Drosophila melanogaster: one gene and its partners. The protein of the gene in region 1 interacts with the protein of each later gene in a pairwise test. Each region holds a gene or a part of one and is shown in the gene's direction. Other genes may lie near its edges.

The links.
Region 2: the proteins of croc (region 1) and CG42741 interact in a two-hybrid assay, tested with the Drosophila melanogaster proteins (one large-scale study listed by BioGRID).
Region 3: the proteins of croc (region 1) and Sox102F interact in a two-hybrid assay, tested with the Drosophila melanogaster proteins (one large-scale study listed by BioGRID).

What each region holds. Positions count from the first base shown.
Region 1 is NT_037436.4:21,471,510-21,480,198, reverse strand, and holds croc (crocodile), read left to right. Parts: upstream 1-3,719; 5' UTR 3,720-4,004; coding exon 4,005-5,531; 3' UTR 5,532-6,066; downstream 6,067-8,689. UniProt on the Drosophila melanogaster protein: Required for the establishment of head structures.
Region 2 is NT_033778.4:23,037,747-23,046,394, reverse strand, and holds the start of CG42741 (uncharacterized protein), read left to right. Parts: upstream 1-3,451; 5' UTR 3,452-4,774; coding exon 4,775-4,786; intron 4,787-5,016; coding exon 5,017-5,052; intron 5,053-7,375; coding exon 7,376-7,433; intron 7,434-8,648.
Region 3 is NC_004353.4:829,197-838,029, reverse strand, and holds the start of Sox102F (Sox102F), read left to right. Parts: upstream 1-3,636; 5' UTR 3,637-4,651; intron 4,652-8,833. Other genes in the region: fd102C (forkhead domain 102C), read left to right, coding at 1-821.

The sequences.
Region 1 (8,689 bases):
GGCGGATATTTCCCAGCCCCTTCCTGGGAACGCGCGTGTGTTTGTCTGCAACTAATCTGCTAAATTGTCTGGCCAAAGAGAGCAGTCGCGGAAAAAAAATTGGAGAATATATGCATAATAAGCCCGCAACTGTGTACGAATCATAAATTTTAATGAGTGGCCAATATAGACTCCGAACCATAACTCTGGAACCACCCCAAAAAAACCAAAACGCAAAACAAGTCGAGGGGGTGCGGGTTGAAGTATCTACAAGTTTTGTGGCCACCGGAAACTGCAGTGTGCGAGGGAGAGAGCGAACTGTAGGCAACGCCATCGCTGCATCCCTTTCCACAGCTGGCCACGCCCCCTTCTCAATTCTGCGCAGTCGTTTTTGCGAGTGTATTTGTGTGCCGCCTGTCTCATATTGGCAGAGAGAAAGAGAAATTGTTGCATATTCATGAGAGAGAGCAGCGGAGCGTGCGTTCGTATGCGTGTATCTGTGTGTCGACGTGTATCTGTGTGCGTTACTTTACTCTCTGCGTGCGTGTGAGTGACGCTTATTTCAAAGATCGAAACCGCTTTATCAGCATTTTTCCTGCATTTCCTTTCCTGTCCTTCCCAACGAAAAAAAATTGTATTTTTTTTTGGCTGCTTAAGTCCTTGGTTCAAGTGTCTGATTAGTTGCACTCCCCTGCACTTTAAAATCAATATTATTCTTGGATTACTCACCCGAAAAAAAGAGAAGAAAGAGTTCTGCCCAAAAAGGGCATTGCTAAAATTTAATAATGGGCACTGAACGGCCACATGTTGGCACTCGTTTCTTCGCCGGCTGCTCCTCATTCTGCAAATGCTTCTCCTTGTCAACAGCGGTGTCAACGTTCCGTTGACTGCAGCAAATTGAGCGTGGCAAATGGGCGAGACACATCTACCAAAACTCGCTTTCCACTTGCCAAAATTATGGGGGGGTTGTCATTTCAGTACGGCAAATGTGCTTGCCAAATTGACAAATTTTGTGCTTGTCAAATAGGCGCCCATCAAGGCCTAAAGTTGATAGAACTGCGATTTGTGTTTAATGATCATTTTAATTGGGTAATTAAGGCATATTTCGGAGTCATAATCGATTAACGAAAGATAGTATTTTTCATAGGGCTATGCAGATTCGCGTTTTTAATTATTGAAAGGGACAAGACCAAGGTCATTCTATATCTATAAGATATGTTAGGAATATATCACGTAATAACGACCATTTTTCACAAAACTGCATTATTTTCTAGTAAACAACTTTTACATTCGAGATAAAAGCAGCTTTCAGCTTTCACTGCATTCGCGGAGAAAATGTTAAGTTGCAGTTTTGGGAAACTAAATCAATATTTAGATAGGTCAAATGCAGTGGGATGGCTGCAGATATAGATACAGATACAGATACGATGGAGTGGCAGAGCAGTACGGATACGGACAGCTGTAGCTGTGCAGGATGGGGGATGGGGGAATCGGACAGACAGGCAATGGCAACTACGTAAGAATAACATGAACTGCGCTAAATGCACAGACGTAGCCAGTAGACAGTTACTCACAAAAAACTGCTCACACCCACAGCGAAACCCATACAATCGCAATCACGGCGCCGATGTCGAAGACGAAATTTGTTAAATCAGCAGCAGCAATCCTGAAACTCGAGAGGAAAAAATGAAAAAAATATGGAACGAAACCAGAAGGAAGCCAAATAAAGTGCGTAAAATGGAGCATACGGCGGCGGAGTCGCCTCATTCGAATTTCAAATGCAGGACTCTCATCCTTTCGCATCCTGCAAAGGATATGTGGCCAACTGGACACACACATGACGATGATTCATAGCCTCATCCTCTCCGACAGATCGCATGCGAAAAATTATGTTAAAACAATAAAAATATTTGTCAAAATAATGCGATTGCGTTAATAGAGCCAAATATTATTCTTGTATCAATTACCCAGACGATTGGGGTTTTAAAGTGATGCAAAGCGCTCGGTTTTTGCAGACAGCCACGGAAAGTACAAATAAAAAATAGTCAGCATACTTTTAAATTATCCAAATATAAATATGTGCGTGTTTGTTTTCCCTGTGTCTAATAACCAGACAAACACCCAGCCCATCCCATTCGGCCTCTCGCGTACACACACTCACATCCACACGCACACTTGCCCTTGCCCAAATAAACATATGAAATTTACTTTAAAGCTGACAAAGTCAATAAAAAATATTGTTTTAATAAGCAGAAAATAGAAATGAAGTCTGCGAAAAAAACGACACTGCAGGACTCAACGAGCAGAGGAGTCGCGAGAGGGAAGGACGAGGCCGAAGGACTTTTTATGTTTGACTCTATCGTTATTTGGCTTGTAAATTGGTTAGTAACCCTTTCGATGTTTGGAAATGTGGAGTGAATGAGTATCAAGTCAAAAGGCGGATAGGAGATAACATAAAAACAAGTGCAATTTTAATATGTTATAAATTTATGGTACAAAACTCTACTTGTATTAACTGTTCAATTATTATTATCTCTGATTTAAACTAATCACGCCAATAGAGCAATTTTTAAATAAATAACTCGCTTCATAATAATATTGCAGAAGGGAAAAGTTTTCTACATATATATATTCATTCTTTTTGATATTAGATACATTTTAGATATTAGAAAAATTTCGGTTTTCTTTTTTAGGACATTTTAACATGAACAACAATTTAATGAATCTTTATTATATAAGGATCCTATATATAGGGTGATACAATAGTTCTTGAAAAACTGTGGAAAACATGTTTGTCTAATATCCTGAGTATTCTTGAAATTCTTACCTTAAATAAGCCTGAAAAATTCCTGCCCTTTGCACACCAAAAAAACCATTGTCAATTCAAGCGCCCGAAAAAGGGAGTTGCTAAAAACTTAATGCCTTGCCCTCAACGAAAACAACCTTCAAACGTGGCCCTTAACTTGAACATCTTGGCGAAAACCCATCAAACTGCAAATTAGCAGGCAACTTTTTGGTCTCTGCCTCTCCCGAGAAGACGAACAACTTTAAGCTGAGATCGAAAGAACTTTATCACTAATTTATGCCGAAGTCATTGGAAGGGTGAGTTAAGTGGGTGGTTGGCTCGTTTGCAGCCCCTGGTTCACCACCACCTCCACCCACTTGTGCCTGTGCTGTTGGCTTTCCCAGGTGCCTCTCATAGTTGATGTGGTTCTCGCTCGCTCTTACTACCATTGTATCTAGTATATCATGAATGCGAGATAGAGGGAGCGAGCGAGAGCGGAAGTGAGAGAGAGAGAGGGAGAGAGAGAGAGGGCGATAGGCCGTATTTTAAGCATTAGTTTAAACAACAAAAACAAGGGCTTGGAAAAGCGACGGGTAGGGGAGGAGTGCCCACAGGACACACACCGTAGCTAGCTAACTATTTTTTCCTATACAAAAAAGAAAGCATGAATGGCGTCCGCTCTCTCTCTCTCTCTCTCTCTCTCTCTCTCTTTCTCTTGGCCACACACAGATACTTTCGACGCAGCTGTGTTTGCGGGCCCACTTCACTTACTGACTGCGAGTGGCAGCCATCGTTGGTTGGCTGCAGATACACATGCAGATACGGATACATTGTGCGGGTACACACAGATACTGTGCGGCAGCGGATCGAGATACTTTCTGGTGCGGGCGACGCTCTGCCGACGCAAACGCTTCTGCTCGATGCGAGCTGTGTGTTATTTCAGTTACACAGATTCAGTATCAGACGTGTTACTATACCGAACGGTTCTGCGCTCGCTCTGCGCTCCCATTTCCCCTGTACTACAAATAGATGCATATATATATATATATATATATAGATTTATATATCTGCACTTATGTGAGCGACTTGTTTAAGCAAATATTATCGCTAGAAATAATAAGAAGCAGCCAGTGGTGAAGTGATTAAGTTCGAGAAAGAAAGCAAGACAAAAGCAAGAGAGTACGAAAATACCAGAAGGCGGCAGTGGAAAATCGATCAGAAATCCGCCGGAATCGCCGCCATGCATACGTTATTCAGCGACCAGAACTCCTTTACGCGCCACTATGCCCAGACCGCAGCCGGTTACGGATCCGCATCCGCGGTGGCGGCGGCCAGCAGCGCCTCCGCTGCAGCAGCGGCACATTACGCATACGACCAGTACTCCCGCTATCCGTACTCGGCCAGCGCCTACGGCCTGGGTGCCCCGCACCAGAACAAGGAGATTGTAAAGCCACCTTACTCGTACATCGCCCTGATAGCCATGGCCATCCAGAATGCGGCGGACAAGAAGGTGACCCTGAACGGGATCTATCAGTACATCATGGAGCGATTTCCCTACTATCGCGACAACAAGCAGGGCTGGCAGAACTCCATTCGGCACAATCTTAGCCTCAACGAGTGCTTCGTGAAGGTGGCCCGCGATGACAAGAAGCCCGGCAAGGGCTCCTACTGGACTCTGGATCCGGACTCCTACAACATGTTCGACAACGGCTCCTTCCTTCGCCGGCGTCGCCGCTTCAAGAAGAAGGATGTGATGCGGGAGAAGGAGGAGGCCATCAAGCGGCAGGCCATGATGAACGAGAAGCTGGCCGAGATGAAGCCCCTCAAGCTGATGACCAACGGCATACTGGAGGCCAAGCACATGGCCGCCCATGCTGCCCACTTCAAAAAGGAGCCCCTAATGGACTTGGGTTGTCTAAGTGGCAAGGAGGTCTCCCATGCCGCAATGCTCAACTCCTGCCACGACAGCTTGGCCCAAATGAACCACTTGGCTGGCGGCGGAGTGGAGCATCCCGGCTTCACCGTGGACTCACTCATGAATGTGTACAACCCGCGGATCCATCACAGCGCCTATCCCTACCACTTGAACGAGGACAACTTGGCCACGGTGGCCAGCAGTCAGATGCATCATGTCCACCACGCTGCGGCGGCCCATCATGCCCAGCAACTGCAGCGTCATGTGGCGCACGTGGCCCATCCTCTGACCCCCGGCGGCCAAGGAGCGGGAGGCCAATCGTCCGGACACTCGCCCACCACGATCTCAACTCCGCATGGTCCCGCGCACGGGGGTTGGTATACCCCGGAAACGCCACCATCGGAACCCGTTCCTCACAATGGGCAGCAGGGCACACCCACCCACCCGGGACATAATAACAACAACAGCAGCAGCGTACTCAACCACAATGGAGTGGGCAACGGTGGCGGAGGCGGCGGCGGTGGCGGTGGAGGATCCTCCAGCGTGCTGACCAGCAGTCCCACATCGGCACTGGGTTTCCGCGACATGATCTTCGAGCAGAACCAATCCTGCCAACTGGACACCGGTAGTCCCACCGGCAGCCTACAATCCGCCAGTCCACCTGCCTCCGCATCCGTGGCAGCGGCATCAGCGGCAGCAGCGGCGGCGGTGATCAGTAGCCACCACCACCACCATCATCACCATGCGGCGCTTAGCGGGAACCTGGGCCAGCTGGGTCAGCTGAGCAATCTGAGCCACTACCGACCGCATGTGGGCCACTACCAGGAGTACGGCATCAAGTACGGGGTGTAAGCCTGTGGGCTGGATTCTCGGCGACTGGGCTGGGCTCTCTTGTATATTCCTGTAAATACATACACCATATAATATACCCAAGAACGAGTCTACACAGCCTGGGGGTGGTGATCCCTCGGGGTCCAGAGTCTGCTATCTCAGATCTTTTTGTTTCCAACTTGTTTTCGATTTATCCGTATACGAAATAATGGGGGACATAGCTGTTAAGCAACCGCATTAACGTATTGTATTGTATTAACTGTATTTGTAATTGTAGCTCGTAATTGTTATCGAATTTAGGCATAGTCCCAATTGTCTGCTACGCAATTTGTGATGGGGTTTTGCTACACAGAACATAAACTTAAATTAGAGCATTTTGTCAATAACTAAAACTACCGCATCGGATCGATCTATCATCGCCTAGTACACTAGCCTAGCCCACGTAAGCAATAATAAATTATACAACTAAATCGTAGCTATAACATAACTATCAAAACTAGCGTACCACCAATATGAGCCGAACAAAAAGTGTATTGAAAATATGTTAAAATATCTCAAATCGTGTGTTTTATTTGGCCCCTTCATATTCGGAGCGACTTTCGCTATTCCATCTGGCCATTGAGCATTTGGCTGGCAAAACAGACTTTTTACCCCGAAACTGGATAGCCCGCACGCAGAATTCCTAGATAAATAATTATTCAAGGCGTGTCCGTTTCGAGCCCCGAATGCATGACTCAACTGGCCAATTGTCACTGGAAGATGGCTTTCTGGGTAGCCGTATCATATCATTTGGACTCACTCGATCAGTTGGCTGCAGTTCCGATGGACTTGCAAACGTGGACATATGTCGTTTGTCAAGCGATCGGATAGAAAACACTTCCCCCCTTTCAGTGGAAATAATTATGCATTCGACCTTTTGGAATAATAAATGAAAATTTCCAGGAAATTGTATGCTTCATATGCACGACTAGCTATCGAAAGGTATTTACAAAAAAGGGTAACTTTAGTATTTATAATATTATATTCACTGTTAGATTGTGTAGTCTGAGCTTCTTTCTGCTTAAAAACTTGAAATTGAGGATCCTTTAAGCCACTTTATGGCAACTGACAAGATCGTATTGTATCCAGAAGAATTATATTATTATTCCCCCCTAAAAGTGTCATTTATAAACGAAAATGTTAGCTTTCTCTAAGGTTGCCGTCCAACAATGGCCAACAAATTACAAATCTTTAGTTAAGAAAACTGTGCCCCCACAGGGAACACTGTAGCTGCTCCTAATTGCCAGACAATTGCCACAAATTGGTAGAAAGTAAAACACCAGCCTGCGCAGCGTGAGTGAGTGCGAATAAATCAGTATGTTGAGCTTATTAGCCAGCGAAGTAACCAGTTACCCAACCAACGCCAAAGATCGGCAGATGAAGCGCCACTGATTGATGGCCAAAATACGCTGTTAACTTGGCGATGACGATGGGCAGCTGGTCATGGTCTCGTCTCGGAACTCGGCTTTGGATTTATTCCAATAAAGGCTGCTCGACGACATTGTCACTTGAGTGAGCGCCGCTTGGCGCCACCGCGGCATTGAGATCGCACTCGGGGAAGAAATCTGGTCATGTGTGTATCTGTATGGCTCTCGATTTGTGGCCCAATCTCCGCTCAGGTGCTTCGCAGCTGGGACGGCTGCTTTCAATGGCGGACACCGCTCGAACGCCAGTCAGTCAATAGGTTTGGCTAGCTGTTCGTAGCCCCAACAATGGAATACCTGGCTGGGTGGCATGTGAATGGCGCTCGAGTGCCAGCCAAAAGTGTGCCAAAGACTGTAGTAGGCCTGAAAGTAATCTTCGAATGGAAGACTCCACTGAGCATGAAGGGCTTGATTTTTGGTCAGATGGTTGAAATTTTCAAAATCAAATGGGCAGCGATATTGGTTGTATCTGCCAATTCAAACTGGAAAATGTAACAAAAAATATTTATAGTTGGAACCACCATTAAAAGCAAACTACATTTAAGAGATGAAAGAAAAGGATTTGTAGCGTACCGAAAAATGTTTAAATTCTTGATCATTAATATTATTATTTACATTTAATTATTGGAATGGATTAGAATGTTCACATATCCCCAAATACTGGCAGCCAAAAAGGGGCATCTCCTATCTCAATAAACTAGGCTATTCGTATCCAAAAGCTCAATATTTTCAATCTGAATATTTGGCTGATCGGTAGGGGAACGAGTTTGGTATGCAAATTCAGCACTTTTGGCAGCAAATACAGTCGGCTGGGCGGTTGACAGCAAAACTGCCATTCGATGCCATCCGGAGTCTCCATTCGGTGTGAAAAGCAACAAAATTAAATGCGAAAACAAAAAGAGTCTGGATGGAAAAGTGGCTGTATGTTTGCTTGGAGTGCAGCCGTCGCTGATTGCGCGGGTGGTCCAGAATTTACAAAACTGAATCGGAATTGGGATTCGGGAATCGGGAATAGGGAATAGGGAATCCTCTGTAGCGCAACGCCAGGCGGAGGACAAGAAAAATAAATGCGATGGCGACAAAATGTTGCACTGTTTGCTTAGCGATAAGGACGCGCCCACATACACACACACACACACACACACACACCGATACGCACACACACAGGCAGGGAAACTCGCAGGACAACAATGCCAAATGCCCAATAATCCAATCGAGCTAAAACGGGCGGAATGGTTTTCGGAATGGTTGTCGTTCGTGCCGCTCACAAATATTGACAGCTGTCTCTGTGGCTCATCGCGCAACCAGCCCGATTTACATAAATATTGTTGCAAGCCTAATTAAATGCAAGTATTAGCCGGCCAGCTGCCAAATGTGCTGCAGTCACAAGGATTTTCGTATCCACCGGTTACAATGTATCTATTCTACGACTATGACTTGGCCCCGCGGGAGATCCTTTGTAATTAACGCTGCCTATTTTTCGGACTTTTCAGCGCCACCTCCCTCCACCATTCACACCTATGTATGTTTGTGTGTGTATGTTTCCTATACAACCCCTGACCCCCTTGATATTTATTTACCTGGCCAGTTGTGTTGATGACCTGTTATCATTGCCCCGTTATAACAATAAATTCCAGTGGTCGACGCTCAATTGCCGCGGTGACAACAACTTCGCTTTTTCAATGATGGCGATGGTGATGATGATGATGTTGTTGT
Region 2 (8,648 bases), on another chromosome or scaffold:
TCCGTAGATATTCTTCACGCCCGCGTTTTGCTGGATCGATCTGCTCGCACGCACTTACGGAACGCAACTGACGCAGGATCCTTCCGGCCATTGCTCAAATTGACATTTTGCGGCTGCTCGACGGCCATTCGCTGCCGCCGCTCTATCGTCGTCCCGCTCGCTCGCTTGTCTTGCCATCCCGCTCCCACTCAATGGCGGAAGCTGCGGCATCGGCAGGTATGACGTCAGGCGGCGGGGGATTTCGATTTTCTCGAGCGGCAGCGGCGGCTGCAAAACGAAAATACAGCAAATTCAAAGCTAAATTGAAGAGAGCCTTGACTCGACGCTCTGGATTTTTCTGTTTCTCTTGGGTTATTCTTTGGGTTTTCTCTCGATTTGGGAAAATGCCTGGGAAGTATGCGTGTTGGGATGCGGGACGGGGAATACGAGGGGAATTGTCGGCAATTTTTGAAATATTTTACTTGTTGATTCAAAAAGGGGATTGAGAATATCTTTGGATCGACGGGAATTCATAGGACAGAGTTTCTAAGTTTTGAAAAAGTGCATTCAGAGTAATGATAAATTATGTTTATTACATAAAAGCATTTCCTGAAAATTGCATTCTGGTAGAAAAGATTTTGTTTTGCAATTCCCAATTGAACATTTAGTAAACTTCATTGAATGTTGTTGTTTGCAGCGTTAGTTTAGGTTTAGACAAGAATTTAACTTAAAAACTTGAAATGATATGGAAATAAGTTATATTCTTTTTGTAAAAAAAAAAATAAGACGCAATGAATCTCCCCTGATCAAAAACACGAAAATCCACATAAATCGGGTATCAAATTCATTTAGATGTAAGTATATATAAATCGATTATAAGTTATATCTATCTGATTGCATATTTACCCAATCAACTTTGCTGTGCGAGGATTTTCCATTTGTATATACTTTGGGATCGCAGGAATTTCCCAGGAAACAAGCCGAAATGTTTAGACGCTCGCCCATCGAAATCATTCCGCTATTAAATAATCATCAGTTAGTTGCCAACCATCGTAAAGCGTGCAAATCCACAACCCTAACCGAGGGGAACTCCACGAAAAGGTTTCATTATGCCTAATTAGTGAATTCCCACACACACGTACCGAGAAAATCGCAGGCGAATGCGGCTCGGAGCTCCGAAAATCCAGAAAAATACGAGCGAAAAGTCAAATTTCCGGATATAATTATCTGTTTGCCTGCCGGGGCCACCAAAAATACCCGATTAATGCAGAGCGCGAACTTCCGCTGGAAAAAACCACGATCGAAGATCTCCGATCGCAGATCGCCGATCGCCGGCTTAGGTAATAGCAAAACCCAGGACTCGAAATGGTCCCCTTAGAAAAACCACCAACAGGGTTTTGCCCTGTCCCAAAACTACCTGGACTTAGGAGCTTGGACATGATGAGCAATATGATTTACTGCCCTCAGCACATTTATTATTATTGTTATAAAACACAAAGTAATATAAGCTTAAACTATTGGTCGGTAATTAATGCAGAAATATACTTAACGATGAGATTATTTTTAAAGTAAGAGCGAATTTTGTGTTCTTATTGGTCAAAAAGACAAAATAAATGTTGCCAACTTTTTGGATAAAGTGTATAAATATATTTTAAGATAATCAATCTCAATGCGCGCCTGAAAGTATGCATTGAAATATGTGTTTTAAATGCAATTTTAGATCATGCCTTTAAATTAGACATACATATGTGAAGTAGCTCGCGTGAATATAACTTAGGATAACTTGAGGACATGTATTTCTTGTTTCACTAAAAATACAAATAATTTTAATAAACATATCTTGCCTTTATTTTCCCTGGCAGATGGCGCCAAAGTGAGTGTAGCAATGCTGTACATACAACCATTCAAAATGATCTTAATGTTCAAATTGGACACGCTGCAGTCACGTAGTTTATTGATTTCAATTCCGTTTACGAGCCCAAATCAAACGAAAAAAAAACCAAATGAGAGAGAAGCTGGAAAAGGTATTTTGCGTATTACTTTTTTTCACGGATGCTGCTTCTGTTTTTCATCTCTTGTCGTTTTTTGCGGCTCTGCGTGGTGCGATTGCCAAACGATTTCCAAGCGCACCAACTTTCCATTTTGACAATGCTCTAATCCTGCCATCGCAAAAACCATGTGTGTGGCAGTGTTTGCGGAGCGTGAGAAGAAACTTTTGGTGCACGTAAATCTCGCTCGACAATCAATTAAAATTAAAATATTTTTTGCCTGCCAAGCGCGCAGCGTTGTCTACATATTCGAATTGACTTTTGATGATGTATCACGATTTATTGTTACCAAAAATGGTCGTCAAAGCGCGTGGAAAAGTGGATCAGGTAGTCTGGCGACGTCTAACGGGTTGGGTGCTGGGATCAAACGGGGCGGTGAGCGGTCGGCGGGCAAACTCCCACAGCTTTTGATCTTACAGTGGAAATACCCTACATCGGATAGAAATTTCTGCATCTGAAAATGAGCTCTTTTTCATGGAGTCTATAAATTTGTGAGTAAATTTAGATCTCAGTATAAATGATAAATTAATCTTTATGAAAATTCTTCTTGTTAAAACACTTTTGAGTTGTGCTTAGATAAAATAAGATTTGATTTAAAATTTATTGTCCAATTTATTACCCAAAACTCAGTTAACAAGCACAAATGCCTTTACTGAAATCATGAAATCATTTTTAATTTCTTTAAATTGCAGATGGCATTAACCTCTGTTCTTCTTTAAAATTATAAATTGTTCTTGAAAATGGTTATATGTAGATAAATATTTATTAAACTGTATCCTATATGGTGGATGCAAACAGTAAGGTTGATTAGCGCATACTAACTAGATTTAGCGAATTTCGACTGTGCTGAGCTGGCAAAAATCGTGTGCGATGCAGCCTCTGCGATTAGGAATAAGTCGCTTGATGGAAGCCGCGGCTGCTGTCAGCAAGTGCTCCAAAAAGTATCTTGCGCTTGTGTTAATTGCTCCCACTCACCGCACACATATGACCCACCTGCCCCACCTGCGCCACCCCCACCCCGCGTTCAAGGGGCCGTCAGCCAATGAAATCGCTGGCGCCAAACACCTACACTTTGAGCTTGTCAAGCTTCTGTCTGCGTGTGTGTGCTGCATGTTAATTAACAGCCAGCACAAACACACACACCTACACGAGTGGCAAAAGCGCTCACACACACACACACGCTGGCGAACATGGGTGGGGGCTCTCACACACACAGACGCGCGAGTGTTGGCCACCCAATAACATAAGCGCCAACTTGTCATTTTAGCCTAGCTCCACCTTAACTAAACAAACAAACAAAGTGGTGCACACACACTAGCACACGCGCGCGCGAATGTCAAATGCGTGTGCGGAGGTGTGGTGAGTAGCGAGCGGCAAAGCTCACCACGCTCGGGGAGCCAAAGTTGGCGGTTAAAATTCGAAGAGCTCAGAGCAAGTTTGCTCCGCGCCGCGTTCAAACGTGCTGCTACGTGCGGGAAACGCTTCTTTTTTCCTTGCTTTTTTTACTCACATCCATGCTCAGTTGAATTGGAACAATAACAAGAATAAAGAGTACACGATTATGATATGATTATAAAATATTAGCTGACATATTCACTACGCGTTCCATTCCGTTTCGTTTCGCTGCGCTTTTCCAACCGGCGTTTCTGCGCATGCGTGCGTGCTTGCACTGCGTGCTGCAACTTAGTGTTTGTGTTGGTGCGACGCTTTAAATGGCGTTTTAAGTGAAATTAAAATGACGGATGTGCTGTAATTTGCACACTCACGCTCGCTCGATAAATACAACAACAGCAGCGGCAGCAGCAGCAGCAGCAGCAACAACAACGAATGAAACCAAGAATCCAGAGGAATAAATAATAGCAAACACAACACAACCAACACACGCCGTTTGGTGGGGCGTTGTGTCCGTAGCATGTGCCTCAGTTGATCGAATTAAGTGCGAGTTTTATAGCGCCCGCGGGACCGGGAACTGCAATTGACTGCCCAACCGGAAATGCAAGCCCCCAACAACAAGTGTAACACCCCCGCCCAGGAAGCGTCGGCAATAAGTGCTAATAAGTGAGCCGCAGACTATAGATAAAACCGGATGCAGGGCCACTAGTAATTGCCAATTTCAGTTATCACCCTGCCTCGTTCAATTGGAAAAATCTGTTGGTTTTCGGTGCTCAGTTTAATTTTTATTTTTTTTTTAGTCATGCTTAGGCGGCTCATCACATATTTGCTTAAGTAGCTAAGCAACTAAGTAATTTCGTCACGCACTGCGCGCGCTGCATTCGTTACCCCACAAAATGCGGCTTATGCTTCTGCTACGGTGGCCCCCTTCCCCGCAAAGGGTAGCCCCCCGCCACCGAAACGCATAAACAAGTTGCAAATAAAAAAAAAAGATAAAAATAAAACTAAATAATACAAAGAAGCGCAGAAGGTTAAAAAAAAAGGGTAGAAAACAAAAACTCAAGGTGCGTTGCACTCGTTTTGTCATTGATTCCGCGGATGCGAAATAGCATGCGGCAGTTGCAGGCAGAAAAGAGCACGGGCAACAGCTGCTGCGACAAAAGCCAGGCCAAAAGCAAAAGCAACGGCCAAAACCAAAACAGCGATTATTTCAGGCATCCGCCTCCACCTTCCCACCACCCCCTCCCCGCCAAGCCCGGTAACAGAAAACAGAAACCCTTGCTGCTGCCTGTCTTTTGTAACGTGGCCAGAACGTTGCCGGGCAATTATTATTTTGTAAGACGTTTTACAATTTAATGGTTTTCATGGTAAGTACACCGATGCGAACGCCAACGCCATATGCCATGTGCTCCCCTTTCTCGGCCACCTCTGCGACCCTGTCAGCCGATAGTTTGTTTTGGCGACTTGCGGGTTAGGGGGTCACGAAGGGGTCAACCGGGATTGCAGGGGAGCCCTGGCCAACACCAACCTGTTGCATTTCGACGCAAAGAGGGGCATTGTACGACTCTTAATTCCCTGTTTCTGCTTCTCTTTGCAGAATGGACTTGGATCCGACCCTCTGTCAGCAAAGGAGGTGAGTTCCCAGATTAACTATGGCGGTGGAGATAAGATCCGGGCGACCAGCAGAGGTTCAGAATATAGTTCTATATACATACATATATGTATGTATGTATGTATATGTATGTATATATCCCATAGTCAAATGAAGCTTAGTAAAATCTTAATAGGAACTCATTCTATAGTATCTTAGTACCTTAAAATTAAAGCTTTTCTGCAGTTTAATTGCGACTGCAACCATGTTATTTCGACGCAATCTTTTCCGCACCTAACTAATTGTTATTGCCTGCAATTTGTCTTCAATATCAGTCAAGTACAGCTCATTAGGGCCCATCGGTTTCATGAGCCACAATTACCACCGAAAAAAAGCGTTCATCAATTAAGAGCAAGAAGAGTGAAATATTTTCATGTTAGCGATACACTTCGGCCATTCGAAATGGCAATTGCGTAGGAATTCCCAGTGGGCCAATTCGTTTGGTTGCCCCATAAAACCCATCCCATCCCAGTCCGTCCCATCAGTCGCCTCAAAGCAAAAGCCGTCAGCGGAAAACGGGGAGCAGAATACCACATACCAAGCGTAAGACAATCCATAAAATTGAGTTCCATTGGATCCACGCGACGGTGGGGGAAATCGGAGCCAACTAATGTCCCGGCCATTCCCGATCGTTCTATCAATTGCGGCGCCTATGAGAAATTTCAGCACGTCCCAACACAAATTAGCAGATCGGAGGCTGCAGCGCCCCATAACAATATCATAAAGCAGCGAGTTTGGGGCAAGACGGGTGGATCGGCATCGGAATCGGAATCGGAATCTATATAACAATAAATCAGCGCGGGCAATTAGAGGGTAAAGTGAATGGGGGCCAAGAAATATAAATATAAATACCTTTGGACAGGGGCCAACATCAGTCGCATATCAATTGCAATCTCCAGCGTCGATCGCCGTCTCCCATCTCCCATCTCCCGTCTTCCATCTTCCATCTTCCATCTCGAATTCGATCTCGATTCCGATCTCGATCTGGATCTGGATCGAGATCCAGATATCGATCTCCGCTGCCGGCCAATGAAGTTGTTGTTGTCAATGTTGCGGGCCATAAAGCGGACTGGAAAGAAACCCAAAAATGCCCCTCGGCTGCCATTCGACACAATCGAAGACAAACTATCTAACCTAATGCTGGCAATGAGCATTTGTTTGTTTAAATAACTGCATGGCAGTAAGCGGCGACAGCGGTAAACAACTGCTCACATCGCGTGGCCAAGTTCTGGGTGCTCCCCCAACCCGACCCCTCTTGGCCACTCGAGCTTCTTTTCGCCCACTCGCCACTGACATTTTTTCATAATTTGCGCTACAAGCCTGACAATTGTCGTTGTTGCCCACTGGGCACACACTCTGCACTCTGCATCCATGGATGCTGACTTGGTTGTTCGCCGTCCTGGTTGTCGGTTGTCCCCGCTGGTTGTTGGTGTTGCCGGCGTTGTTCGCGACCATGTTGTTGGCATCAGGCTGCTTGGCTACCCTGCAAGTTGGGTTAACCACGTTGACTGGTCAAAAGGATAACTGAGAACTGAGGTTGTGACAACTTGTATAGCATTATTGGAAAGGTTGCCCTTTGAGCAGATTTAGCCATTATTAAAATAGGCAAAGAGTGGGCCTAAGCTTAATAACTACGCCAAGTGATTAGTCATGGTCGAAAACACCCTTTAAATATTGTAATAGAGTAAGCCTCATTTAAATAATACTGCAAAGTGTTGGCTCTGACACCCCATCCCCCGCAAAAAATGCATATGCAGTGCCAAATTAAAATTTATCCATTTTATAGCGCTGCGGGCAGCTCATAACTGTTTCTTTGTTATTTTTCGCCGCTTTTAACATTTTTTTTTTTTTTTCGGTTTTTATTGCCGTTAGTTTATTGGCTAAAGATTTCGTAAGCACATGAAATGCGCAACAATTGCGGTTTTTCGGTTTCTTCCCACTTATCTGGCCCGATCTCCCATATGGAGTAAGCCAGATATCGACGGAAGTCATTTGCGGTGGTTCCAGCTAGATGAATTCAATAAGCAAACAGCTCCCAAGCACGCACACTCCACTCCAGTCCGCTCCGCACATTTCCCTAAAAACCCCCCCAGTTAACTCCATGTTCTCGACCATCCAACACTTTCGCCCATCAACAACATTTTGTCAAACTTGATTAGCACTTGATTGGCCCGAGCAGAGCTTATGACTCTATTGTTCGACTGCATACATAATGGGCTATACTATACTGAATCTCCCCCGCCGCCCGGCGATAAACAATATTGATGACGCTGTCGATAATCTTTAATTTCTTTCCGATCCACAGGCAGAGGGCCCTCCGGTTCAGGTTGAACCAGTTGATCTGAGCTTACGTTCGCCGCGCGGTAAGTTGCTAATTATACGCTATCTAAGTTGACTCAACCTGAACTCGCATGCCGACTGGGCCGAAAACAATTAATCAATGGAATGACCGCCACAAGTTGATCACTTGAAAACAAAATCAGGTCATCTCCAGTTAGAGAACGCTGAATGTCTAGAAAAATGAGGTACAAGACCAATTTGCATTTCTTCTCTAATGAAGTTCGACTCTTTTTGGGCCTAAAGTGATGAAAAGATGATGTTCCCGGGAATTGCCGATGGTGGGTTGAGTAAAAGATGAAAACAGAAAACATATTTCAATTATGGGGATCTTGCACTCCACTCCTTGTATTATTATTATAGTACGGAAATGTAGTGCAAAACTTAATCTACCTAAAACTTCGATTTCTAACGAGGAATGTAAAATTCAATGATTCTCATAACCATGAGCAATAAAACTCTAGATAATAGGGAACCAAAATTAATATTGACCAAAATTAATAACAATAACAAATACCTCGGTTCTAATCTATGGTATTTTATCGGATCGTAAAAGAAATATTCTTGATGAGCAACAAATGGTGAGCAAACAAAATCCAGTCGATAGGTAAGACCGCAGCTCGTCGGAAACGATACAGAGATGTATGTTAAAGATTTCTATCAGCATTTATATCAACCTATGATCACACTCCTCCCATCAAGAAGACAAAACACTGAATTCCTCAGATCTCCTACGGCTTCCCCACTCCCACCGCCCGTGGATCGGGGGCCGAGATTATCCGGCAATCTCGCAGACAAGCTCGAACAAAAGGGGGAGACAAAACGTTAGTCATTGCCTAATGCTCATCAGGCGGAGCCATTCATACGTGAAAGCCTGATGAGTATCGCCGTGTGATCATCAGCAGATCGGTTGTGGGCCCATTAGGCTCATGCTGATTCCGCTGCGATCACCGCTCTATATCCGACGCCCAGGAACCTAGGAACCTGACCCACAACAAGTGGCTGCACATTTGGTGGGGGTAAGTTCGTGTTGGTTTTAGCCACTTGACCGATCGAGCGATCGCCCGACCAGCCAACCACCACCAACTGTTTGACCATTTGACCTTTGCCAGCCTTTCTCTTTGCCTCGATGTGTGCCAGGTATGTGTGAGTGAGTGAGTGTCAGTGTGTGTGAGTGTTCGAAGTTAACAGCAACGCCCCGAAAACCCGAAAAAGCCACAAAAAGTTGACTAGATAAATAG
Region 3 (8,833 bases), on another chromosome or scaffold:
ATATCAACTCCACCACGACAACAACAATCGCGAATATGTTTTCGCAGACGCGGAAGCGCCAGTTTGACGTGGCTTCGCTACTGGCACCCGATGTCCAAATCGTTGATATTGTCTCTGAAGACCAGGAGTCGTCAGTTACGCCAACCACTTCGGCGAGGACAACAACTCAAACTCATCATACTGTCATTACCAAGCAAACAATACACCGCGAAGTTGTGTTGGGATTAGAAAAACCTGTGCAAGATGCAGACATAGACGCTGATATTGATGTAGAAGTTAATGTCGACGTGGTAGACGATAGCATTATTCCTGATACTGATTCTTATACGGATGGGGAAGACAGGAAAAAAACAAGGGGCACTTTGAAGCAAATATTTTCCATTGAGGACAATAACTCGTACCTAATCGATGGCAGGCTATCTTCATTTGATGCCGATCCCGATCATGACCCCGACCACGATCCAGAAGACCTTGAACAGCACAACTTTTCAATTGCCAGCTCCGCAGCCAGGTCCTTGGGTAGCAGTAGTAGCCAACACGAGGAGTCAAGCTCACTTGAGGAATGTCCTATACAAGAGTGCATTGTCGCGCCCCAAACTGCACTCATATCGTCAATGGCTACTGCGAAAACATCAACCCTGTCAGTTCCCATTTCAGATGCGTATCTTGAACTGAACCAGGTTGATCAACACATGCTTAGTAGGTACTACGGGTCGTATATTGCCGCAGCTGCACGACGAGCAAGTATAGATGCATCAAATACTTCGCGCACTTCCTCTATTACGCCGCCTCCAAAAATAGAAATTCTCTCGCAAAAGTAAAAGATAATTTCATTGGCAAGAAACTACAATAAAAGAACTAATTGTCTAAAGTTATATAACAAACAATATTAAAAACTGACCACCCACCCACAAAATTTCATACCATAAATTTATATTTATTAAATAGAGTTCTTTCAATGTAGACTAATATTTAAACGTGCATAACAAATGTTAAAATATTGTTAAACTTCATAGATTTCAAAATAAATTTAGTGAACAAAACAATTCAAATTTCTGTCATCTTGATATTAAAAAGGTTACATTTTCAGCACGGTTCCAGTTCTAGTCATTACAAATCTTTAGCACACAAAATGCCGGGTCTGACCAAGAAAAATGAGTACTCAAGACTTTATTTTAATTATATCTTTCTGTTTATTAATAAATAACAATTATCAAAAATGCATGGGTCTCAGATACTTTGGGCTACTAAGGAGAATAAAATGAGAAACAAATTTGAAATCGTTTAAAAGTGTGTGGGCGTGACCGTTTTCGGCGGTTTGTGGGCGTTAGAGTGGGGGTGGCAACATGGGTCAACAATATGGTTGGAAACGCTTCCTTCTTAGTCGTACTCTACGAGTATAAGGGATAACGATATAGTCGAGATCCTAGACCATCAAATACCCGTTACTCAGCTAGTGGGTTTGATAAACATAACATTTCAACATTTTTGGACATCGACAGAAATTGGCATAAAAATAATTCATCTAAAAAACCCAAAATGTATAAAATGACAGTTTGAGCGGCTTGTGGATGCTGAATGGACTTGGTTGAAATGCTAATGCACATAATATAACGAAAAAATTATGAAATTATATTTCAAAAGTGTGAGCGTGGCAATTAGTTTTTTTGCAAGTGGATATAAATTTAGAAGACTAATGAAAATTAAAATATCAGCACAATTTTCAAAGTCAAGGTTTTCAACGTTATATTGGGCGTGGCAACACCAGGAAAGAAATTCTTTCTCGCTTTTAGGATATGCCCAGTTCAACTCGGCTATTTATCCTGATTATAAATATATCCTTTTTAGGGCTCTACCTGTTATATTCTTTTTCAGCAAATCTAGTATACCGTTTTAACAAAGAGACAAGAATAATACTGTTTCACCAAAGACACTAGAATAATATTCTAGTGTCCGTCATAATTGCAGTAGCAAAAGTGCCATCTGTTGGTAATTATCTATACCTAAAGTAAATTCACCAGTTTATATGCGCTGCCAACCTGCTTTCTACACTAGTAAAGGGCTGCCATTCTCATTTCTGATTGCAGCGGTTCGTAAATTTTGGGATGGCAACGCCAATCGTCCTCGCAAATCAGGATAGCATTTTTGGAAAAACTGAAAAAATACCGGCGATTTCTGAGAAAGTATCTCTACTAATAACTTACATATGTTGACCTGTACAGCGTTAGAAATCCCGAGGAGAGGCATTCCAACAGGCTTGAGTAGCGCATGGTGTAAGCTCAGGACTATTAGCTACTATTATGTCTTGTGGTTTTTATATAATAATATGTAAAACATCTTGTGTATATATACAAGACGAAATTTATACATTGGGTGTTGCCTCTGCTTCTTTTTAAAACATTATTGGTTTGGTTCAAGGACAACCCTCGCACGCCGAGTTTCAACTTTATCGAAAACTGAGTACTTGATTTGAATAAAATATACATGTATAATAGGGATGGTAACAAAAGTTCAAACTGCGACGTTGGAAGCAAAAGTTTTGGTTCATATATATAAGACGAAATTTATACAATGGGCCTGTGCTACAAAAATTATTATTATTAGTATTCTCCGTTTAAAACGTTATTGTGTTTTTTTGTAGTTCAAGGACAAAGTTTTAAATGTTTAAGGGTACAATACAATAATAAATTAAATGCCTTATAAGAATACCGCTATAAACATTTTTATTTTAAAATACTCAAATGAACATAAAGACGTCAGGAAATTTTTTATGTATTATAACATGTTTTTTAATCTTCCACTTCTTATTATAAATCAAAAAGAGCTTCCTAAAAACTCTTTAAAATAGTTATTTACTGTAAGACGAACTTATACGTTTTTTACCAAATCCTAAATTACTGAACATAGCACAGTGTTAAACCAATCCGAGACATCTATCGAATTAAGCGATCACACCTACCAATTTTCAAAAATTCAATAAATGAATAATCGATTTGATTGTAATCGGAATGCAGGGCTGAGTTTAATACAAGCAGATCTCAAAATATTGTCATGGCCACTCTAACCGTCCGAAATTTTATTAATATTAATATTTATTAATATTTTTCCATTTGATTTGTCTGTACAATTTTTATTGATATACCAAAAATATTTTGGACATACCCAAAATGCGGATTATGACAAAATCATATATATTCCAATATAATCATATAATCATTACGTTTCCGCTTGATCGTATAGTAAGTATTTTATACACTTAAAGTAAATCTTGTTAGCGATCTCAACCTGCGTTACGATATCTCAACGAAAACAGTCGTGGAATTGCAATTCAAAAATATATGGAGACGGAGAACGAAGCGTAAAATTTGCAAAGTATCTGCTGTATAACTGGACGTGCGCAAGAATACCAAACTTCAGACAGAACGCAGAGCCGCGATTGGATAACAAGTCACAAAACCAAATTTCAAATTGAATAACCACGCCTCTTTAACATTATTTGCTTCTCTGCAAAAAAAGAGAAAATTCCGTTCAGAAAGAGAAACCAAACATGTCCAAAAAATTTCTCTTAATGTAAAAACTTAACATATGATTAACATGCAGTTAACAGGCAACAGCAATGGAAGTGGAATTGGAATCAGTGACCAGTGAACATCGCTACACAGTGGTGGTAACATTCCACGTGCGCGGGCTAACCTATGCTGCATAAGACCACACGACTTTGAGTCGGAACAGAATGACTTTTGACTCAAAGCCTGCAATGCACCGATTGCAAAGATTTGGTTGCACACACAAGTTGTACACAATGGATTCTCAGGGTGTTCTGCCTTAAGATCGTGCACTCACACCACTATAGGACCCAACACACTTTGCATGTGAATGCGGTGCACGTGCATCTGCATCTGCCGTGTACTCTGTGTTGTGCATTTGTGTTAAGTGTTAGCTACAAATCATTTCACTACAAATGTCCACTGAGCCTAGTGATGACTCAGAGCGATGTATGTGTATTTTATATTTTCGCAGTATACCGTTCCATGTAGTTCACATTTTCCCTAGCACGGACCAAAGTCAACGCCAAGAAACATCAATTAAGCTCAAACACGCTGAACAGTGCAAAACGGTTTTTGTGCGAATCAAAAATTACTCTTGCAAGCTCCGTGAGCGAGGGGACTAACGCGATGCATCATTGGTAGAGCCAACGGAATTTTGATTAGATACGAAGATGAACACAAGTAGTGTCTTTACACAAAACGCGTATTAGGAACTAGCAATGGGTTGTCTGGAAATCCAAACCAAATGGGAAAATGTATATCTTTAAGCTTATAGCTCGAGGGGTGAGAGCGACTAGGCAGTTTTTGTACGGCCCAGAAATTCCCGAATATGTGCCATGATCCAAAGTATCAAAACGTTTATCGACGTGTCGTTAGGCAAACAAACGGAAAATAATCGGGCGCTGTAAATGTGAAGCAGAAAAATAAAGTGAATTTTCAAAGTGCCATAAGATAATATACATAAATATACGCATCACATTTATATATATTTGTCCTATAAATATCTATAACTTGCCCACGGCCGATAATACAATCCTTGATGCACCTAGTCAAATGAGTACAACTAAAATATATATAATATCAACCGGGTTCCGTAAGAAAAGGTGAGTATACTATGCTTCCCCGCAATGACACTATTCAAATTCCCCATACGACAGTCGTAAAAGATTTCCCCTACCACAACTTTTGGCATTGTTCTTCCAAAAGCTGAGATCTTAGGCCCGCGGTTCGGTCAGTTTTCCCGAATCATCGCGGTTTGTTATGCCGGTTGCTGCTCTAAACAAGCATTGGTCGCGACAGGTGCATTGCCACGCGAGAATATCTTTCGGGAAGGGGAGGGAGGTCTGAGGCAACGATCGGAACTGGAATCGAAATTCGGGCTGGTCGCAGATGGGTTGGAGGATGGAAGGAATGCTTCATGAGTAGCTGGCTCGAAGAAGTTGGAGATCGTATACGAAATGGCTCAGAGTGGACTGGTTTTTGAGGTCGCATGTGCTTGTGTATCCGTGGCCGAATGGGGACAGAAACGAAGTCGTAGATATATTAATGTATTTTATTGCGGATTTCCAAATCCTGTACATACTAATAATTGGAATTCTACATTTATGTTCTTTAAAGTAAGACTCCAGTTTGATTTTGATTCGCTCGAATTCGATCGCGATATCTAGTTTTCATTTGGCACTAATGATATGGGCATTGAACATCTTACACAATTGTACTTGTCGAGCTATTGCTTTTGTTGCCGCTTTCCGACTGTCTACTGGAATTGTTTACTCGTTGTCCCGTGGTGTCACTCTGGATCGCCATAAATTCTGGAGCCCATAAGAACAAAAGGCCGTGTTGCGCATCGTTTTTAGCAGGCTCCTCGGTTACATCAAATAGACAATCAAATGCAAAACAATGATTAAAGCACCACCGTCTTTTAGGCATCACCTTTAATGCTGTGGTTCGGGCAAATCTATCCCAATCTATTGTAAGAAGCGCAACGATGATTATAGAACTGTAACATCTTTTTCTGAGAGTTCAGATAAATGAATGATGGTTTAGGAGATGGTGAAGCATCGAATATATCGTTCAATTCCTTAATGATGTCTTCTTGAGCTTTGTACGGTTTGTAGCTTACACTTTACAATAGTATACTTGTTATCAATTGCGGAGGTATATGGAATAGTTATTTTTGAGCAGAAATACTTCATGCACTTTTAAAAGATCCACAGCGCTTACCCATTTGCACGCACGATCATTAACTTTAACTTGAGGAGTACGTACGGGGGCAACATGACAGGTTGTTTATCCAGTTCTGCCTGAGAGATCTGGCAAAACTGGCCCACAGAAAAATTAGCAACAACGAACTAAGCAAGAAAATAGTTTGCTTTCGGGACCGAAGCTTGAAATACACTTGGAGTCAGTTTCGCTCGTATAGGCATCCTTTCATAATAATTGGATTAAATATTACGCAATTGATCATCGTATTTGGGACAAAGTATACTAGGAAAATATTTTATATCTGCTAAGTGCATAATTTAATTAGAAAGTTATTAAAAATAGAAAATAACTATTCGTCTCTTTAATAGATCTTGTTAAAGTTTAACTACCTATTAAGTGAGTGCATATTTAAATGTTGAAAAGTGTTTCAAATAATGTTGTTTCTTTAACAACATAACTCTGCGTTTCCATAGGATCTAATTTGAAAAGTAGGTTCATAAAAGCTTACAACTAATTTCCATCCCTGCAAACATGCTTTTACGCAAGCGTCTAGATCTTGCAAACTGCAGTGAAAAACATGTTTTGGGTTATATAGATAAAGCCCGAATCCACATAGCCATGCTGCAAATAGCGTCGATCCGCCGGGAGGACATAAGACGACAGTTGGCGGGAATGCTGCATGAAAACTAGTTGTATAGTTGACGCTAATGCTGTTGTTTTTTACGGCAATGTACAAAAAAAAAAGCAACCGAGTCGAAATATCAACAGGTGAATGCGTATCCAAGAAATCAATAAAAATAAAACAGGAAATATCTGCGGATCGACGATGCGAAGGTAGCCTTTTGGCAAGCTAGTAACTAAACCACAACAGCCCGTCCAGCTTTAGTTGTTTAAATATTATTGTTAAACAAAAAACAATTCAGAAATGTATTAATCTAATAAACTATTTGTACCTTACCTTAAACATACTCCATATTACACATAGGGGTGGTTACAAGTATATACGTTAATCGTATAGTATAATAAACATATAAATTTATCAAGACAAGCAGTGTTGATCTGGAAATGTCCGTCCATCTGTCCATATGATTGATATGATTTAGACTTTAAGCGCTGGTCTTAAATTTGTGGAAATACAAAATTAAAAATTTTAAATTGCATGTGGTAACGTAACAAATTTCAAAAAATGTTTAAATTTCGTTTCTTCGGTTATAATTGGTTACAAAATACATAGATGAGTATCGCACACTATGAGACAGACACACAGGAAAGGCTTCCGCGTGGGTTATTTCATGATTGAAATTATTGTTACACATATACATATATTATAACCTATATTATATTTTTATTAAATAAAGTGGAGTTTAATGTACAACCACTAACAAAATGCAATACAAATAAAAGAGCTTCTCATCAGAAATATGCAGAAAAGGCTGGTGTCTAAAATAGCCGCTCTACCACTTCTACATTTTCGAAGCCGTTTGTGAACAAAAAAAATTTCTGGGATTGCAAAGGCTTTGAAAAACTTTATTGACAAATAATATTCCTAAGGTATTATCACTTACTAGGTAATAGATTTGAATTTACTGAGCATCTGATGGTCAAGAATATCGGAGTTACATTTTTTACTTGACCAGATGATGTCAACGGTAAAATCTTTGAGTGAGGAGAATCAAGTCAATACGACAATTGCATACAAAAGTTGTTTTGTTTGTCCTATATGATTTACACTCCCCCACCCACTCTGATTTTAATCAACAGACGATGCGTCTGTTTTCGTATTCTCGAGTGCAATAACATCGCCGCAGAGTGAGTTTCTTTGAAACAATACAATTTGATCAAAACTTTTAGATTGTCAAATGTATAGTCGAAGTTTATATTTTTGTTTTATATTCGCGAAACGCGTAAAAACATTAGCTGTTGCTTTTAAAGAAAACGAGTCTATTACGTTCGTTGAGAACAGGCACAATTAAGCGTTTTATACACTTTTTGTAATACTAGCCGGGCAAATATAGACAGTTTTCCATTGCTCTCGTTCTGTATGGAATATCGGATAGTCGAGGCACTTCACTTCAGCTTGGCCAGTTGATTTTTTTTATTTTCTTTTGTAACAAACGTACATATGTATGCTTGTACAATTTTCTCTTCTTGCTCAAGGCCTTAAGAGTAAAATAAATGAAAAACAAACATCACCGCGCTTCGCATCAAAAAAAAAAAAAAAAAAAAAAAATTAAAAAACAAAGATAACAAGAAAAACAGAAAGAGTTCAAGTCAACGACTCTGTGACCATTGCAGATGCGGTACTGTGACTGCATCTGAGGCTTCGCCCAACGCAAAATGATGCATTGCTGATATCTCATCGATGCGGGGAAACGTAAGGGACCAAACCAAACCACTTCGCTGTATTTTGCTTCTTCGTCTTACACGCAGTTTCAATCTAGTTGCCGATCGTCACTCGCTTTCTTAAACAGTACAACACGTTTTCGTGCGAGTGTACTCAAATATAAAGCCAAAACTATAAAACGAAGTGATACCCTTTTCAACGACATGGACAAGCCTTTTACGTAATGCCTTTAGCAATGCTAGTTCATAAGGCTGAATGTGAAAGGCAGATATTTTATTAGGGGAAGACATTACCAATTAGATTGATCATGGGCGAAAAGTTAGCATAACGGGACCGATAACAGTGACCGCCATAGTTTTTATACCGGTTACTCGTTGGGTGAAACAATATATTGGTACTCGCTACCAACCATATAAACAATACAGAATCTCAATCAGGATCTCTAGCCTGGCTGTATGCGTTAGGAACTATAAAAGCTAGAAAGTTGAAATTGAAAGTTGAAAATGTTTTGATTTTTTTTATTTGTCTTGTCTATCGGGTTCTCAAACATTTATTTTGCCACGCCCATCTAACGACCACAAACTGTCATCCGCACTCTGCCCAACTTCTATCGGTATTTTGGCCACGCCCACTCTTATGACCCAAACCGTACAAAGCCGCCACGCGTTTAATTGTTGTAGCAATAGCTGAGTAACGGAATAATAACAGAATAGTAACGGAATAGGCGAATAACCCG